Schizosaccharomyces pombe: one gene and its partners. The gene in region 1 interacts genetically with each later gene. Each region holds a gene or a part of one and is shown on either strand. Other genes may lie near its edges.

The links.
Region 2: mutations in laf1 (region 1) and dcr2 together harm fitness less than expected from each alone (positive genetic interaction), as found in Schizosaccharomyces pombe (one large-scale study listed by BioGRID).
Region 3: mutations in laf1 (region 1) and apq12 together harm fitness less than expected from each alone (positive genetic interaction), as found in Schizosaccharomyces pombe (one large-scale study listed by BioGRID).
Region 4: mutations in laf1 (region 1) and stc1 together harm fitness more than expected from each alone (negative genetic interaction), as found in Schizosaccharomyces pombe (one large-scale study listed by BioGRID).

Annotation. Positions count from the first base shown.
Region 1 is NC_003424.3:5,249,468-5,254,435, reverse strand, and holds laf1 (clr6 L-associated factor 1 Laf1), read left to right. Parts: upstream 1-2,201; 5' UTR 2,202-2,401; coding exon 2,402-3,295; 3' UTR 3,296-3,916; downstream 3,917-4,968. Other genes in the region: RFC-like checkpoint protein Rad17, read right to left, coding at 1-663, 721-824, 868-1,078; vtc2 (polyphosphate synthetase), read right to left, coding at 4,269-4,968. UniProt on the Schizosaccharomyces pombe protein: Component of the RPD3C(L) histone deacetylase complex (HDAC) responsible for the deacetylation of lysine residues on the N-terminal part of the core histones (H2A, H2B, H3 and H4).
Region 2 is NC_003421.2:773,479-779,022, reverse strand, and holds dcr2 (phosphoprotein phosphatase), read left to right. Parts: upstream 1-2,251; 5' UTR 2,252-2,452; coding exon 2,453-3,982; 3' UTR 3,983-4,233; downstream 4,234-5,544. Other genes in the region: Tf2-12 (retrotransposable element/transposon Tf2-type), read left to right, coding at 1-890; tal1 (transaldolase), read right to left, coding at 4,557-5,525.
Region 3 is NC_003423.3:446,843-450,497, forward strand, and holds apq12 (nuclear membrane organization protein Apq12), read left to right. Parts: upstream 1-2,091; coding exon 2,092-2,439; 3' UTR 2,440-2,556; downstream 2,557-3,655. Other genes in the region: arg12 (argininosuccinate synthase), read right to left, coding at 2,929-3,655. UniProt on the Schizosaccharomyces pombe protein: Involved in the regulation of lipid homeostasis in the endoplasmic reticulum, thereby impacting nuclear pore complex biogenesis and localization, and nucleocytoplasmic mRNA transport.
Region 4 is NC_003423.3:3,690,102-3,694,226, reverse strand, and holds stc1 (CLRC complex-Argonaute linker protein Stc1), read left to right. Parts: upstream 1-2,311; 5' UTR 2,312-2,378; coding exon 2,379-3,026; 3' UTR 3,027-3,219; downstream 3,220-4,125. Other genes in the region: abz1 (para-aminobenzoate synthase), read right to left, coding at 1-1,664; mug30 (ubiquitin-protein ligase E3), read right to left, coding at 3,221-4,125.

The DNA of each region.
Region 1 (4,968 bases):
AGAGATCGATAATTGTAAGGAATTTATCGCACTCCTCAAATCCCCTTCGCTGGCAGAACAAATATTCTCCACCAAACTCAACAACTTTGGAGACTTGGGAACACCCTCTTTACGTAGAATAGAGCCAAGGCATTTTTTCATGTATGTCGGCGCAATAGGATTAAACTGTAAAACTGTTACACGTGGATCCTGAAGTAGATCATTACCCATTATCTGCACGCTATTAAAGGAATTTCGATCTTGACTATTAATACCTTCCAAGTTGTTTAACTGTATTTCTGTAAGAACCATGATGATGGAAAAGGCGCCTCGCGATGTCAATGCGGTGCGAATGACATTACGAAAAGCATCAAGAGAGCCATTGAATTTAGAAAGGTGAGGAATTTCATCCAAAAAAATAAACTTTTTCTTTCCTTGTGCATTTTTTCCACGCTTTTGAATATTATTTGAATCCATAAGCTCTAACTCTGGATAAGTTTCGCATAAAGACATAAATCTACTAAACTTTTCCGTGAGCGAAAGTGTATCTGATTCTTGGTTTGAAGGCTCTTTTAGGTTCATAGGGTTTAGCCATTCTATGAGACTATAACCTAATTCTTTAGCCAAGACCTGAACTGCGGTACTCTTTCCACAACCAGAAGGACCACAGATCAAAAGTAACCTCTATGATTTTGTTAGCCAAGAAATATTTTTGAGAGAATTAGGGGAGATTTAACATACACTTTCTAAAGAATCCGTTAACATCCATTGCTTAATTGCACTTATTTTGCTTTTATGCACGGCAAGATCAGCCGCTTTTTGAGGAATGTATTTTTCAAACCAAACTATGCGCACCGTTAATTTTTGAACCTTTTTAAATTTTCTTACGTTGAAATCGATCTTCTTTTAAATTATTGAGATGAACAATTTTGTTTTCTTCATCAGAAAAGGCTTCAATATCTTCTTCATGAATATCGGTTATCGAAGCATTTTTGTCGCGTGAAGTTTTTGAAACTAGAGAAGGTTTTTCAATCTTTCTTATTTTCTTCTTTTTTAATGATCTCTTTGTAGATTCATGAAACGACAACTGTCGCCTCATGCCAGATATATGTTTTATTCAACAAAGAAATAGGAAGCTAAAGGTAGAGACTTTGTAAATCATTAGATAAAATATATATTAATAGTTCACAAAATTTTAACAGCACAAAAAAACGAGTGAATTGATTAATTTACTGCTGACAAGTAAATGTGTGAACTAGTGAAAATATACAAGTACTGTATATGGAAGAGAATAAGTGAGTAGGTTTCTTAAGTACTCTGAAACTGCTTCCTATAAAGAAGAGTAAAAAAGACATGTGTATAATTTATTTATAAATCATTTATTTGTACATTTCTCTTATTGTAAGATATATTGCGAAAGTATTTATTACAAATTTACTTTTTTTTCTCATACTGTAAACAATGATCATCAATAAAAAAGTTAGCTTTTTAATTAATGAACATCTGAACGATAAAGAATGAATAAATAAACAAGTAAAATAGTGATATATTTCAATTGAGAAATTACTCTAATGGACACAGAAATGTATTTCTCTTCATTTATAAAATCAAACAATTGGCATTTTCAATTATGTCGTATATGAGTGCATTAGGAACTAGCAGCTGGAAAGGCAAAGCTGTAAATATTAAGAATATAGTAATGAGTATATTTAACCTTGATTTGGATTGCGACATTACACTGGAAACCAAAGGAGGAATTGTTTCATTAGAAGCAGTCTAATAATCCAATGTTGCTGCATCAAAACTCCCTATTTTGTTGATAAACATAGTTAGCCGAGCTCTAACTCTTTAAGAACCGATATGAACTCCATTGGGAAATGAGCAAGAATAGAAATCAACCAACACTACAGAAAGTTCATACCCATACATCTAATGTGGTACTTTTAATCCCCTATCCATCAGTATTTCGCTTGGCTTAATTATATTTGATGGGATGTATTTCCTTTTTGGAATTGATTTTTCGCATAATACTGGAAACAGAAACCCTTGTGAGCAAAGAAAAACTTGGGAAACCCACTTGATTAATATGGCAAATAATTTTTTTCTTCAAAATGGCATTTATTTTCCATTTTGTATTTACCATTCAAGTAACATGTTTTTTTGACAACCTAACCCTACCTACCGGTTTCGACATGTGTTCCATCCATCCTTGGGATTTTACTAACACCAACAATCGTTTGGCATAAGGTGAAACTTGGAATTGCTGTTGGCTGTAAATTTCATCTAAAGTCGGTCGCTCTTTTGACTTTTGCATAAAAGAATTGTACATAAAAACAACAATTTGGAGTAATTTCAGAGTCTACTTGATTTAATTGAAAAGGTTATCGACAGCTTGCTCGACTTTATCAAGGAAAAAGGTAAGATGAAATCGAGTCAAACGCTTGTTTATTCGATCCCTAGAAATGTGGAGAAGGACACATGTGCGGCAGCCATTAAGGCATATCAGTACCTAATATCTCCGCCGCCTTCTCCCATTCCAAATGACAAAGTTGCAAGTACTGTTGATGTACCTAAGTGTTCTACAATACCTGAATCTCCAAAAGATTCTATTGTGGAACCAAAGCCGACAGCAACACCTGTTGCGCAACTGCATTCCAAGGTTTACGATCTGTACCGAGATTCACCTAAAATTTGGCTTCGCCGAGAAAGGCAATGGCTTCAGCGTCATTCTCCAGCATACAGGTTTTCGACTCCAGCTGCCAAACGTCCAAGAAGGCAACCCAGCTCGTTTCTGGATGTGCACGCTTCTAATACCCGTAAAAGAGGTTCTCCTGATACGCCGGACTCGGGACATTCAACTCCGCATTCAAAAGGAGATGTTCATCCTGGAATGCCTCAACATAATACGCGTTTCAAGCAGTCCAGTAGGGAGTTTTCCTCCAACACCCAGGCCATTGATGTCGCCAATACACCATATGAGCTATTGCCTGATTATTCTCCTGATATGTCTGTTTTGGATAAACGTTCTCATCCTCGCCCCCTTCGTAGCGAATGGAAGGGCCCTCCCCTTGATCTTTCCAATGATGAGAATAGACACCTTTTACATCCTGCTGAGCTACAGTTGGCTGCAACACTTCGATTGCCTTGTCTCGTTTATCTTGACAATAAGCGTAGAATCTTTGCTGAGTGGCACAATCGCCGTACTCAAGGCCTAAGCTTTAGGAAAACAGATGCTCAACGTGCTAGTCGTGTCGATGTGAACAAAGCTAGTCGTCTTTGGAAAGCTTTTCACGATGAAGGTTTCTTTGACGACTAATTCGCGAATCGTTCATAATCCTGCTGGCCTTTCAAAAAATAGATTTTTTCTCTCTTTTTCTCTTTTGGCGGGTTAGGGAAATAATCAAATTTAAAAATTTCGAAAAACCACGGATTTCATTTTCGTTGGATTATTTATTTTTTTCTAGGTGTTTTGAATTTTTTGTTTACAATCATTTGCATCTCGGTAAAACCTTTCTTTTTTTTTTTGGATATTTCGTCTTGAAGTCGGTGTCCATCGTTTTATCTGGCCAATAACCAGTAGTATATACCTCAAGTCCCTCTTTTCTTCCTTCGTTCACTTTTTGTTTTTTTATCCTCCCAAAGATGAAAAGCATCATGTAGTCAGCATTTGTATTAAAAAATTCATTAATACAGATGTGAAATAACTCTCTTTTAAAAACGTTCGTTTCTCCTATTTACAGTAGATATTGTTATTTTTATACCTAATAACCGATAACCATCAGTTCCCTAATCAGACGGATTTTAGGGGTTTTTAGTTATTTTACTCTACTCAATTAGATCCAATGCTTAGCGGATAATTAATAATTGATTATTTATTCTTTGCTATTAAATTAATTAAACCATAGAAATTATAATGGATGTCCGACGTTAATATCCCAGTATTAATATACCCCAGTGTTGTAATGTAATGAATATATGGTCAAATCCAGCTTTTCTTAATCCTTGCAAAAAAAGTAAATCGACACGTAAAAACTTGCAATACCCGTGCAAATTTTAGTAAAAACCGATAACATATATCCCCAAACCAATTAACCAATATAATAACCCAAGAGCCCTGCTCTAAATGAAGTTTTCAATCTTATTGCAATTTTCAACTTCACATTGCATCTAAATCAAGAATTTACTGAAATGTTATCTTCTAGCTTTCTAAAAATTTATTGCATTTAAATAGTAAATCCAACGTGTAATAAAAGTTGGAAAAATCCCATGTTGAATGATATCGAAACTTCTCAAGTAAACAATTTAACAAGCAAACGATCAGGTTCAATGAGATTTTGATAAACAGCATCCTTAAGTGCAAATGACATGTTGACAATAAGAGAAATAGCCAAAGCTGTTCCTACAATCAATGGGCCCCAATAATCAGTCATTGGCGCAGGACTGCGGGACTTGATCATTTGAGAACGCTTGGCATGAAGCTTCCAAGCATAGAACCCAATGAAAATAGCTAAAAGAGTATAAACTACTCCAAAAGCCTGACCAAGTCTTTCTCCAGCACTATTATATAATGCAAGAGCAAGAGAACCAAGCAAGACCACGACATGAAGCCACTTCAAAAACGTACGCTCATTTGCAAGCCAAACTTTGGCCTCAACCTTAATCGGACCACTGACTCTAAGCGGAATCTCTGGTTTCTTGATATGGGGTGGAGTAACAAACGTTTTACCATGATGCTTAAACGATCCATAAGTAGATGGCTTCAGCAAACCAGGTATGCTTCTGAAGTTGAAATGGTCTCCGTGCTCATTTCGATACACCTCTCTATTATCTTCGGGCTCTTCTGAAACAGGGTGCATTTCATTGGCCTTTAAACGATTGACCAAAGGTGAGGGTTGACTAGGTTCGGGTGTCATATTCTGCTTTAAAACTCTTTGATTCCTACGTTTAATGTAAACATTTCGAGAGCCCGCAGATCCCTCGGGATGGGAG
Region 2 (5,544 bases), on another chromosome or scaffold:
TTGCTTATTTCGGCAATCCAAAAGAAATCATTGCAGATAATGATCATATTTTTACTTCCCAAACGTGGAAAGATTTCGCACATAAATATAATTTCGTTATGAAATTTTCGTTACCATACAGACCACAAACTGATGGACAAACTGAGCGTACAAACCAAACTGTGGAGAAATTACTAAGATGTGTATGTAGCACACATCCAAATACATGGGTAGATCATATATCCCTAGTGCAACAATCTTACAACAATGCGATACATTCAGCAACTCAAATGACACCTTTTGAGATAGTACATCGCTATTCACCAGCTTTATCACCTTTAGAGTTACCTAGCTTTAGTGACAAAACTGACGAAAACTCTCAGGAAACGATCCAAGTATTTCAAACAGTTAAAGAACACTTGAATACAAACAACATAAAGATGAAAAAGTATTTCGATATGAAAATACAAGAAATTGAAGAATTTCAACCTGGAGACCTAGTTATGGTCAAAAGAACGAAAACAGGTTTTCTTCATAAATCCAATAAATTAGCACCTAGTTTTGCAGGACCGTTCTATGTGTTACAGAAGTCGGGTCCAAACAACTATGAATTGGATCTTCCAGATTCAATCAAGCACATGTTTTCATCTACTTTTCATGTTTCTCACCTAGAAAAGTATCGACATAATTCAGAACTCAATTACGCTACCATTGATGAGTCTGATATTGGAACAATTCTTCATATCCTAGAACATAAAAACAGAGAACAAGTACTCTACTTAAATGTCAAGTACATTTCGAATCTAAATCCGAGTACTATTATGTCAGGATGGACTACATTAGCTACAGCGCTACAAGCGGACAAAGCAATTGTCAATGATTATATTAAAAACAATAATCTAAATATCTGAGAACATATGACTTATCCTCAGATTTACATAGAAAATCTTGGGGAGGGCAATGTCAGCAATACTACACTACGCTATAATACACTACGTTGAGTATCACTATATGTCACATGTTCTAATTATATATCGTACCATGTATGATACGATATGGAGATTGATCTTAATGATAATCTATTAAGATCAATATTATCTGAATACTATAAATAGAGCTACTGCTGAACCTCGTTCCTCAGTTCAGTTATGAGCTATATTAGTGATAGGTAACATTATAACCCAGTTAATACAATACCTATACTCAGTTGCTACTTATACAACCTGTGTATCGTAATATAATAGATCACAAGGAAAACTCACCGCAGTTCTACGTATCCTTAAATCAGATACCAAACTGCGTAGCTTACACTTAATGAGTTTTCAAAAAAATATGCAAAACCAAAATAATGAGGAAAACATCATGTGAGATTAGTTAAACGAAGAATGAGTCTCAGCTTGGAAATTTGTTAATTATCAAGCTTCAAGGTATTCTGCTTGAACTTTGAGTTGAAGAATAAATGGGTTCTTTATTTTGAAAGAGTTTGCGTTATGATAATTACTCTTTGGTTCGGCTTAGTGGTTCGGCACAATAATTATGCCGGAAAAAAACAAGATCCGCAAAACCCTCTATATATATCGACTTGCTGGCAGCTTAAAACTTTTCAGATCAGGTAAGAAACTAACGCAATAGTACCCTTACACAGTTATACAACTATTGACACATGTTTCATGGGCCACAACATGTGAAATGTCGGCCAAATTAAGCTTGAATTAAGCGAGATTTATAGTACCTTGAAATATTCGTTTTCATTTGCGAGTTTTCTCGTACCACTACAGTATGAAGCAGAATTTCTCAGAAAATAATACTTAACAAAAAGTTAGAGCTTAAAATATAATCCAAAATGGTTGTTAAGATTTTGAGAGCTGCCGTACCTCTCATATAAACACTCACCGCTAGAAATTAAAAAATAAGTGAGATGAAAATATTAATGTCAATGAGTATCTGAGAGCTTATCCATGCAATTTTCTTCTTCCGAAATGCCATCTAGCTTTAACGTTTGTTTTCACTCACAAGAAAAGTCGCTATAATGCTGAATTTTAATAGACATTCAGAATAACTGAGAACCTGCTAAACTACGTTAAGCTCATCTCTTCACATACCGAGCTCTTTCCAACTTCAAGTATTATGATAAGCAAGTTTCTTGAAAGCGATTCTTAAGTGAGTATTCTGCACTACGCTAGGCATAGATAACGGATTCGTTCTTGTGCTCCGCATTCGAATCTTAATTTGAAAAGCCTTCTTCTACCATGTAAACATTACCGTAATATCCACATAATCCTTTTGCTTTCATGAATTCAGTCAATTCTACAGGTTTTTCATAAAAACTTTTAATTTGAAGCACATTTGTTATATAAATATTGCTTTTCTTTGTCAAATATTTGATCCGTAAAAGAAAAAGTTCTCGCGGGACGTTTTTCGGTTAAAAATACATTCCTACAATTACTAATCTCGTGTTCAAAGACTAAGCAAAATGATGCTACCAAAGAGAAACATTATTCATTTCCTTCGTAAAAGGGCAATCTTCATAGTTGCGGCTTTCATAGCATTATTGACTGTTGATTATTCGCTCAACACCATTGAAATCACTGACTCAAAGTCGGGACCCTTCTCACTGAACACTCCAATCGAAGATATAAGGCTGGTCGAGTGCTTTTCCTTTTCTCCCTTTTGTCGTCCCGTTTTGGAATTTTGGAAATGGGCCCGTACTAGTCGGAATCTGTACCGTTCCCGAATTCCTTGGAAGCGTGCCTACCTTTACGTGAAACGACCAGCACTGTATATTCCTGGGGAGACTGTCTTAGTTGAACAGGTATATGTTGATCGACAGCTGGAAAAGCGTAACAAGCACGGTATTCAAATTCGTTATGGAACGGATGGTGATATTTGCGAATTTAATACATTGTTGGGTGAGGATGTTGTTGAATTACGAGAGGGTTGGTCTGCTGTTCTAAATGACTTTATTTATTTAGGACAGCCGGTCCTATTGACGCAAAGACCTTGTGAAACTCCTCCGACGCCATCTATTGAAGCGCTTAAGAGAAAGGAGCTTTCATCCGTAACCCTTACTTATGATGACGAAGAAAAAAAGACAATTAAGATTCTTCAGCTTTCTGATTTGCACTATTCAAATTCTGACAGACCGTGTCGCGATCCTTATCCGTATGAGACTGCAGAGGATTGTATGGCCGATGCAAAAACTACTGCTTTCGTGAATGAATTATTACAGTTAGAGGAACCGGACTTTGTCCTTTTGACTGGGGACTTAATTAACGGCGACACGTCACGCGACGCTAGAAGCTCTTTGATGAAAGCGGTGTCCCCTTTTGTTGATTACAACGTCCCATTTGCTGTAAATTTCGGAAATCACGATGATTTGGGAGATTTATCGAGGGAAGAGCTTGCCAAAATTTTGAGTCAGATTCCTGGTAGTATGGGTTTGATTGGAAATGTCTCTGGTGTTGGTAACTTTGTTTTACATAGTCCCCGAAAGTTTGCCATTTACGTTTTAGATACAAAGGGAGATACTTCAAATCGAAGATTATGCCCTGGATACGATGCTATTACCGAGGATCAACTGGAGTGGCTTTCTAGTAAAGTTGCGGATTTCAAGTACGAGCCCATTCAAATGGCTGTATTGCATATCCCTCTGAAGGAGTTTTGCGAGACTGAAGACCTTGTTGGTGCATTTCGAGAGCCCTGTTCTTATTCCATTTGTGATCCAAATACTGCGAAAGCTTTGAAAAGTTTACGTATTCCTCTTGCTATTGCAGGACATGACCATGTAAATGATTTCTGTGGAATCCATCCAGATTATAACACATACTTTTGCTTTGCTGGAGGTGCTGGGTTTGGCGGATATGGAGGACATGGTGGCTACGTTCGTCGTGCAAGGGTTTTTGAGTTGGACCCGGTTGAGCGCGCAGTTCGTACTTGGAAACGCTTGGAATGGCCTCCTGAAGACCGTAAGTTGATGCTGGACGTACAAACTATTTTAGTTTAAACAATCACTCCTCTCATTATATAACTTATTTCACAGCAGGATATAATTTTCTTTTTCTTCTATCTTTACGATATTTTTATTTTCTATTCAATCTTCATCCCAATTTTATGGGATCCTTCTTTTCAAAGTGAATTTCTTATGTTACGGAAGTAATATACTAATTAATATTAACGAAATTTTTACGCTCTTCCAATTACATACTTAAATAGTTTTGAAATGTGTTTGCTAATAATTAATTCCACATTCTACCATTTGCAGTTGAGATCCATCATATATTTTATTCCAAAATACAAGTAAATATGTCCATCCACATACGCAATACATATATACAAAATATATATATTCATTTATATAACAATCGTCAAACCTAAAGGCTTAGTCACACTTATAGCTCGCAAGTACGATTTATTTTTTGTGTTTTGTTAAAAAAGACTGCCATAACATCCTTAAAATCATAATCTGGAAACCTCAACATACGGAATGCTAGCAGTAAAAAGGGTAAAAAAAAGTAAGCTAAAAAACTCCTAACAAAATGAAAGAAATCGGTATACCTAACTGGTTGCAGCTAAAATATTTAGGCCTCAAGCTTAGCCTTCAAGATGGTACGAAGAGTATCAGCATCCTTGGCAAAGGCAGCGATACCAGTGGACAACTTGACTACAGCCATTTCGTCGTTGTTAAAGTCGAAACGGAACTTGGGCTCATCAGTAAGGTAGGAAACCTTCTCCAAATTGAGGCTGGAAGCCTTGGAGGCATCAAGCTTCTTGGGGACAGCGTCGGTGCTGTTGTTGAGCTGCTCAAGAAGGGCGGGGGAGATGGTCAAAAAGTCAACACCAGCGAGTTCCTTGATCTCACCGACGTTACGGAAAGAAGCACCCATGACAATGGTCTTGTAACCGAATTTTTTGTAGTAGTTGAAGATGTTAGAGACACTGACGACACCGGGGTCTTCTTGAGCGGTATAGTCACGGTTATTCTTAGCCTTGTAGAAATCGAGAATACGACCGACGAAAGGAGAAATCAAGGTAACGTTAGCCTCGGCGCAAGCAACAGCTTGGACAAAAGAGAACAAGAGAGTCAAGTTGCAGTGGATGCCCTCTTCCTCGAGTTGCTTAGCAGCTTGGATACCCTCATAGGTGGAGGCAATCTTGATGAGAACACGCTCACGACCAATGCCCTCGGCTTCGTACAACTTGATGAGGTGACGAGCCTTCTCGATAGTAGTTTGGGTGTCAAAAGAGTAACGAGCATCAACTTCGGTGGAGACACGGCCAGGGACGATAGCGAGGATCTTGGTACCGAATTCGATCAAAAGACGATCAAAAGCAATCTCAATTTGAGAGTTGATGGAACCACCCTTTGCCTTGGCATAGTCAACAGCAGCGTCGACGAGAGCAGCATATTGGGGCTTCTTAGAAGCGGCCAAGATGAGAGAAGGGTTTGTGGTGGCATCTTGGGGTTTGTATTTGGCGATCGATTCAAAATCTCCAGTATCGGAGACGACAACAGTGCCAGTGGCCTTTAATTGTTCCAATGAAGACATTTTGATAAAACTACCTCAA
Region 3 (3,655 bases), on another chromosome or scaffold:
GACCCAATAAAACCACAAGAAAGAAATTTACTGTGTATGAATCAACCAACGACCAGCGATTCAATAGCAAAAAAAATAACGATCGAATATTTAAAAGCGGGTTGAAACGAACGGTAGTCTATTCAATCAACGAACTTTGATTATTTGAAGTAGGAAAAGTCTAAAATAAACAGTCAAAAGATGACTATTCTAAGCGCAAGAAGCAGCAGATATTTATATACAATCAATCCGGATATCTGCTAACACTAAGCACCCCGGCTACCACCAAACCAAAGTCTGATTTCGGCACGACTACATTGGAATTAAAAAAAATGAATGAAGTTGCAAACCTGGTGTAGTTCGCTATTAGACTTTAAGATTTTGGACCCACAATTGTTAACTGAAATAACGATGCAAATTACGGACAAAGTGTTACAGTAATATTATGCGATTAATAATACAACGGTGTAATATAATGATATTATTATTACTGAACTTACAAAAATCTGATATTCCAATACTTAATAATTTAATAGAACTAAAGAACGAAGTTTCAGTTGGAAATGATTTTGCAGTCTTTTTGTTTTATATAAATTTATATTATATAATAGCAATGCCTACTCTCTGTGAAATGGAATTATAAATGATAATGTAATACAAAATGAATACTATTGTGTAAAGATGTGCAAACATTGTACGAGCTGCTACATAATATTGCATAATAAAGATATTTTTACATGTATATCACTAATAAGAAGTTGGGCATTGAAGAGTATTAGTCTGCTATCTTTGCAAATTGCTTCTAATATGTATATAAATAGCTTGGGAGAAAATTATTATTAATATTTAGTCTTTAGTAAGATCCAACAATTTAATTTATTAGAGCTACTTGTTTCATGCCGTTCTTAAATGTCCAGAAAAAAGATTTATTCATTCCAATAGAATAAATTAATATAATAAACAAGCATTCCCGCTATTCCAGCGTTAATATAATGGGTTTCATATGCATATTCAAAATGTATATAAAGGGTATACTAGCCACATTGTCATGTGCAGCCCTCGCTTAAGTAATAGCTTAAAACAACTGTGGGGTTATTGAAGAAATGAAAATGTTAAAAACGTAAAAGTTGTTTGTTTGTACGGTTGGACCCTCTAAACACTTTTTTCTATTCTGACATTTAATTAATTTTATGATGAAGATTTTTTTTATGTTCAGTAAGTAAAGCGATGCCTTATAACAATATTACAATGGTAATGGTATAAATAAAGATAAAAATTTTATAGCAATTGCAAGAATGAGTACTTTTGAAAACTCGGTTATTGGAGAATCAAGCTGAAGTGGTTGAAGCGAGCTAGTAATAACTCACTTTAAAGCATTTACCAATTGAAGTCTCACAAGCCTTTTGATATTTCGAAAAGGAAGGAATTATGCTAGGCACTCAGCATAAAAAGAACCATTTTATATGATAAAGGGCAAAGGGAAATTAATTTTCTCTCTATAATAGTAAGTATACTGTTGGATATTTATTCCAAAGGAAATATAGGCGGTGAATTCTACTTTTATCTTCTGATCTCTACGCTTTTATTATCAACCGTAAGAGTCTTTCTTTTATAGTAATAACAATCCAGTTAAAAAGGGATAAAAATACTTATCTTCCTTTTTATATATTACTAATCCTAAAAGAGCTTAGAAATAAGCAATTTTTTATTAACTAGTTCTTTATAAAAGCATATTTATAGAGAAAAGCATTTCATGAAATTATGCTATGTACAGCGAAATACGAAAATAAAATACCTCCTTTGACTAGAACTGTAAGCAACAAAGAGTAAACAATAAAAGCTTGTAGTCATTAGCAAATTAGATTTTTTTATCAGTAGTCTCGATATTAGATGAGATATGTTGACATAATCTGTTTGCCAGTTCTTTCTTTAAATGAGTTTTGTTTATAGAACCGTTTATTTCAACTCATCTTCCAATTTTTATTTTAACATATTTTATTAGCAAATGTAATCGTTGGTAAAATTCGCCTACAACGTCAACATTCAGTCAAAAAGCACACCTAACTACTCCCATCTCTATTACTCCCCGTTCATATTTTAACTTTTTAGAAAATGTCTTTGACATCCGTTTTATGGAATTTCGTCGCCAAACTTGCTGTGGACCATGGATTAAATACCAATCCTGATCAAGTCTTTCAAACCGTTGAAAATGTAGGCAAAAGTTTCGAAAAATATGAAACGTCTTTCCTAAAATCATTGTTCAATGGAAATCTAGGATTGAGCTTGCCCTCAGCTATTAATATCTTGACTTTGATTATAGTGTTATACTTCTCTTTGGTCATTGTAAATAAGACTACCAGTATTGCCCTTGCCCTCTTCAAAACACTTGCTGTAATTTCTTTTTTCTTACTAATCGGTTGTCTCTTTGCTTACTGGTTTATCAATAACGGATCTTTTTGAACATTGACTAGCAGCGTTATCTTCTTTGTTTTTTCAGATTACCGAGTACAAAGTGTTATGGATATGCTTTAAAAAATTTTATTTTAGTAATATATTTTTCATCTTTTTTGTTCCTCATTTCATTTATCATTCAAGATGGTTTCGACATTATTCTTGATTTTAGGACTGTATACGAAGAATGGCTAAAGGCCTGTAAAATATTTTTTAAATTAAAAGCATAGTATTGAGTACATTAAACATCTTAACAATTTGCGTTTGCAATATAAAACTTCAATTTCAATTAGTTACAGTTTTCAGAATTTATTTTTTTTTTGCAACAAAAATATTCAATTGACTTATCAGTGATATGAACGGAGTAATTCTATGAAATGTGAATATGAAAAGGAAGCCATCTCAAATAATACTTCTTATTTGCACAGCAGAAATTTGATTATTGCTTGGCTCAAGTACATGGTGAGTATGACATTATTATTGAGAACGACCTGGCATTTACATCCAATGTTTTCCTTCATCAGAGTTACGCAAACGCATAGACTCGATTTGGATGAAACCAGAGGTCCATGTAGGGTCAAATCCACCAAGCTCATCCATAGATGACAATTTCTCGTCATAAAGATGAGCAGTATCAGATTTACGACCGAGGACAGTGACATTGCCCTTGTAGACAGAAAGTTTAACTACACCGTTTACTACCTCTTGAGAAACGTTGTTAGCTGCTAAAAGCATACGAGTGCAGGGAGAGAAAAATTGTCCATTGTACAAAATTTTAGCGAGATTGAAAGTAACGAATTGGTCACGGAGAGCACGAACTTCACGTTCCATTGTTAAACCTTCCAAGTCCATATGAGCAGTACGCAAAATGGTTAAGCCAGGAGTTTCGTAACAACCACGACTCTTCAAACCAGAGAAACGGTTTTCAACAATATCGATACGACCAACACCGTTACGACGAGCGATAGCGTTCAATTGGTAGAAGATGGAAACGACTCCGCTAAAGGTACCATCCTTGCACTCTAATTTGGTGGGAGCACCCTTTTCAAAGTGAATGCTGAGCTCTTCAACCTCATCAGGAGCGTCTTTGGGATCAACGGTGAGCTTCCACATGTCCTTGGGAGGAGTCATACTGGGATCCTCGAGGATTCCAGCTTCATACGAGCAATGTACAATGTTTTCATCCATAGACCAAGGCTTTTTGGTGGTTTGAGTAACGGGAATG
Region 4 (4,125 bases), on another chromosome or scaffold:
CCCATATCTTTTTCATTTAATAGCTTCTTTCTTGCTTCCTCCAAAGACATGTGTCCCTCTCTTTTTAAAGTTCCTTTTATGGGTGAAAATAGGCAACGATCGTCTCGAAATTGTAAGAATCTTTCTGGAGAACAACAGAGTAGAGTAAAATGGTTCAACCTTACAAAACCTGCAAACGTAGCAGGATTTAAAGACCTTGCGCGCATATACATCTCAAAATCAGAAAGCTCTGGAGGTGCCGAAACAAATGTCGTATCCGTTAAGCACATTTCATAAGAATCACCGGCCAAGAGATGTTCTTGGCAGGCTTTCACAGATTCACAGTATACCTCCTTTTTTGGAAAACTTTGAACCAGGCCAAAATTTTGCTTCCCATCGAAACTATGTAAGCAAGATAGGTTATCCAGCTTTGTGTTACAAGTGGAAGCTAACAATTCGCCCCACCACTCAGAACAAGTCTCATTTAAAGGAGTAAGAGTCTGAACGAATAATTTTTTAATCTCCAAGTCGAACACAAAGGATCGATCAACAAAAGCAAGTTCGGCATCAACTGTGGTTTGTTGGAAGTCCAAAGGAAAAGAGGCATTTGAAACAGACTTTGTAGATAAATCACTACATTCGTAACCAATGATACCCATAATTCCGCCGTAAAATGGCAAATTGGTATCTGGCTTAATTGCTTTATGTTGATTCATGAAATCAGCCACTGTGGACCACAAATCGTTGTTTATACGGACAAAGCTATTATCCTTGCAAATTCTAATCTCAGTAGTATTCGTTGCTTTCTCGTAATGTATAATTCGTGCCAAAGGACCTGTTAAAATTCCAAGTATAGAATATCTCCCAGGTTTTTTCGCTGAATCTAAAAAGCAAATTGGATTCCCGCTTTTTTGAATACAATCAGCTAACGCTAGTGGTTCAACCCAAGGGATTTCAACACTGTGAATTTGAAGAGAGGGAGAACCACTTTTAAGAATGAATGCAGCCGGAGAAATATCATACCGATTAAGATTATGCGAGAAACCATTTGCTGATTTTGAAAAGGAATTGACACATTGTATATTAGGAGTATCTGCTAGAGAAAGGAAATTTTTGAAAATTTTCAAAGATTTTGATGACCCAACGCTTTCAGGATGATAAAGTATTCCAAAATGTGGAAACTTTGTAGCCTTAATAGACATAACTATGTTATCTTCATCCGATTGAGCTAATATTTGTAAAGAATCGATGGGAATTTTGTTCGCGTACAAACTGTGGTAACGCATTCCTTTAACCGCTGAAATTCCATCAAAAATGAAAGTTTTTGAAGTAGTTACAGATGACACACGGCCATGCCAAGGAAGATTAGGCATTCTTTCTATAGTGGCACCGTGGTATAAAGCTAATGACTGAAACCCCAAACAAATGCCCATTACTGGGATATTTAATTGCCAAATACGATTCAAAATAGAAGAATATTCGGCAGGATGTCCAGGGCCCGGTCCTACGACAATGGCATCAAATTGAAGTATGTCTTCCCATAAATCAGGACTCATTTTATCCCAATGAACAACAATAACACAGGCATTTTCACTTGCTTTGTAAAGTAAGTCATAAAGGTTAAAAGTGTATGAGTCATAGCAATCAATTAATAAAATTTGTAAACGGTTTGAAATTTCACTCATGATAGATACTAATCAGCTAAAACGACCTTAGATTTACTCAAGAAACATTAATTTTTTAACGATATGATTGAAAAGAGAACTCTGGTATTAAGAGGTTTTAACTTTTACAAAGTAGCAGGAGTAGGAAGTGCGCAAATTAAATTCCAGTTTCCAATTTGTTTAGAAGCTTCTGACATTCTTCGGGATTTTACAAATCATACAATTCCATTTAAGGTAGGAAAAGTGTAGGCTATCTAAAGTTTTATTATTCCGTTTATTTTCAAAGAATAATTCGCAATCAAAAACTTGAAGGCGAGAATAATAGAATGGGAAGCAGTATTTATTTTGAAAACAACCCTTTGAATATGTGCAATTTTCATTGTCAATAGAACATGAAGCAATCAACAAATATATGTATTCTTTTTTGCTTTAATATCATTGATTCACCTATTAATCGAACCGAACGGTAGTAAATTTTATATTAATGCATTTACAGCCTGATCAGCGTAAAGATCTCAATGACAATTGATAGGACGGCTTGTATTACTGTTTTTTTTTTCTAAATCCTGATTAAGCCTGTATGTTTCTTCTATTTGGTTGTCAAGGCTATCACATTTTGTTCATTAAAGGTATTGTCTACTTAATGCTTCTAACGTCAGCAGCTAATTAAAATTATTTCAGTACATATATTCATTTATAAGAGTATTGTTACCATATTAATAATAATAAAAAAATATGGATTTTAAGAGTCGAAAATATAAAATTAAAAAGCATCCGAAGGATTGCAAACTACATGCTAAAAAATACCGGGGTACATTGAATTCAAAAGGGAAAAATGATAATGATTGTTTAATTATGTGTATGAGATGCAGAAAGGTTAAAGGGATAGACTCTTACAGCAAAACTCAATGGAGCAAAACGTTTACATTTGTTCGTGGGAGAACGGTTAGCGTTTCAGACCCAAAAGTGATATGTCGTACCTGCCAGCCCAAACAGCATGATTCAATTTGGTGTACCGCTTGTCAACAAACTAAGGGCATTAATGAATTCTCTAAGGCACAAAGACATGTCCTGGATCCACGATGTCAGATATGTGTACATTCACAAAGGAACGACGGTGATGATAATTTGGAATCTGATAAGTTCGTTGATCCTTTCATAGGTGATGATTCTGACTTAGACGATGATATCTACATTCATGATAAACAAACCATAAACTCAGAATACGCTGACGATGTTTCTGATAATACTGACGAAGAGCGAACTGAAAGCAAGGGGCAACAGGAAAGCAATTCAGCTGAAGAATATGATGATGATGACTCTGATGAAGACAGGATGGAAGAGATATTTCAGCAATTCAAAAAAGAAAAACAAATTGTATAGAGACACGTTTTATATTCATCCTTATTTGAATTATGTAAAGATTTGCTTACGATCCCATTTTATATGATAAATTATAAAGGTCCATTAGTGCTAATGTAGACCTTAAAATATGTTGAATTTAATTTAGATCTTAAATAAATAGATATATGTATATAGTAGTAAAAGGTAAGGAATTGCGAACCCTGATGTAAACACTAGCGTATATTGAACCCATTAGTTTCAAGCAACGCCGTGTCTAATTTTTTTTTTAACTTTTCCCTACTGGAGTATTCCCAAATACATAAGTGATTGAAGCAAGTATGAGAGATAGGAAGTTGATCACTGTCAGGTCCGAGAACTGAGATTCTTAATTGAAAATTATGTGCCCCAGTAGCGGGAATGCGATCGCTTCCTGTGACGAAAATGAGAAAAAGTTTTTGCATTTTTAGCGAATAGTGTGATATCAAATCCCAAAACCAAAGTATTATTTTTCTTTTTGATACGAAAGAGTGGCAGAGATATTTAGATGCAGTCATACTTGGTTCACTTTCAGATATAGAATTTGAAATCGCATTTTGGTCATAAAAATCATAAACGCAGACATTTTTGAGTAGCTCCCAGTCAATAACTTCTTCACTTCCTCTGATCAACTTGCTGATTTCATTGTCTTGAAACAACGATATGGCGTTACCTCCACATACTTTCATAAAGCCATCGAAAAAAGCAGAAAATTGTTTTTTTACAGTAGTATTTAAGAGATAATCTACATACCTCAAAACATATTCTTTTCTGTTCTCATTATCAACACTCAATTCAGAGCCTCCTTCTTTCAACTCAACAGTGCGAAAGCCCTCGACAGCTTTGAGATTAATTGTAAAATTAAGACCGTAAGTATTTTTTACATCTCCTTCAAATAGTAAAAGCTCTTTTAATCCTCGATATAGACTAGGCTGAAAATCATCCAAGTCATTGAAACTTAGAGGTAACTGTAAAAGTTTTTTATAGAAAGCTCTGGGCATCTGTACATCCAAATTTATTGAATTGTGGATTGCAATTCCCATCAATATACCTGACATATGATAGTAATCAATTTCTTTCGACCTGTGTGAATAATTAAACC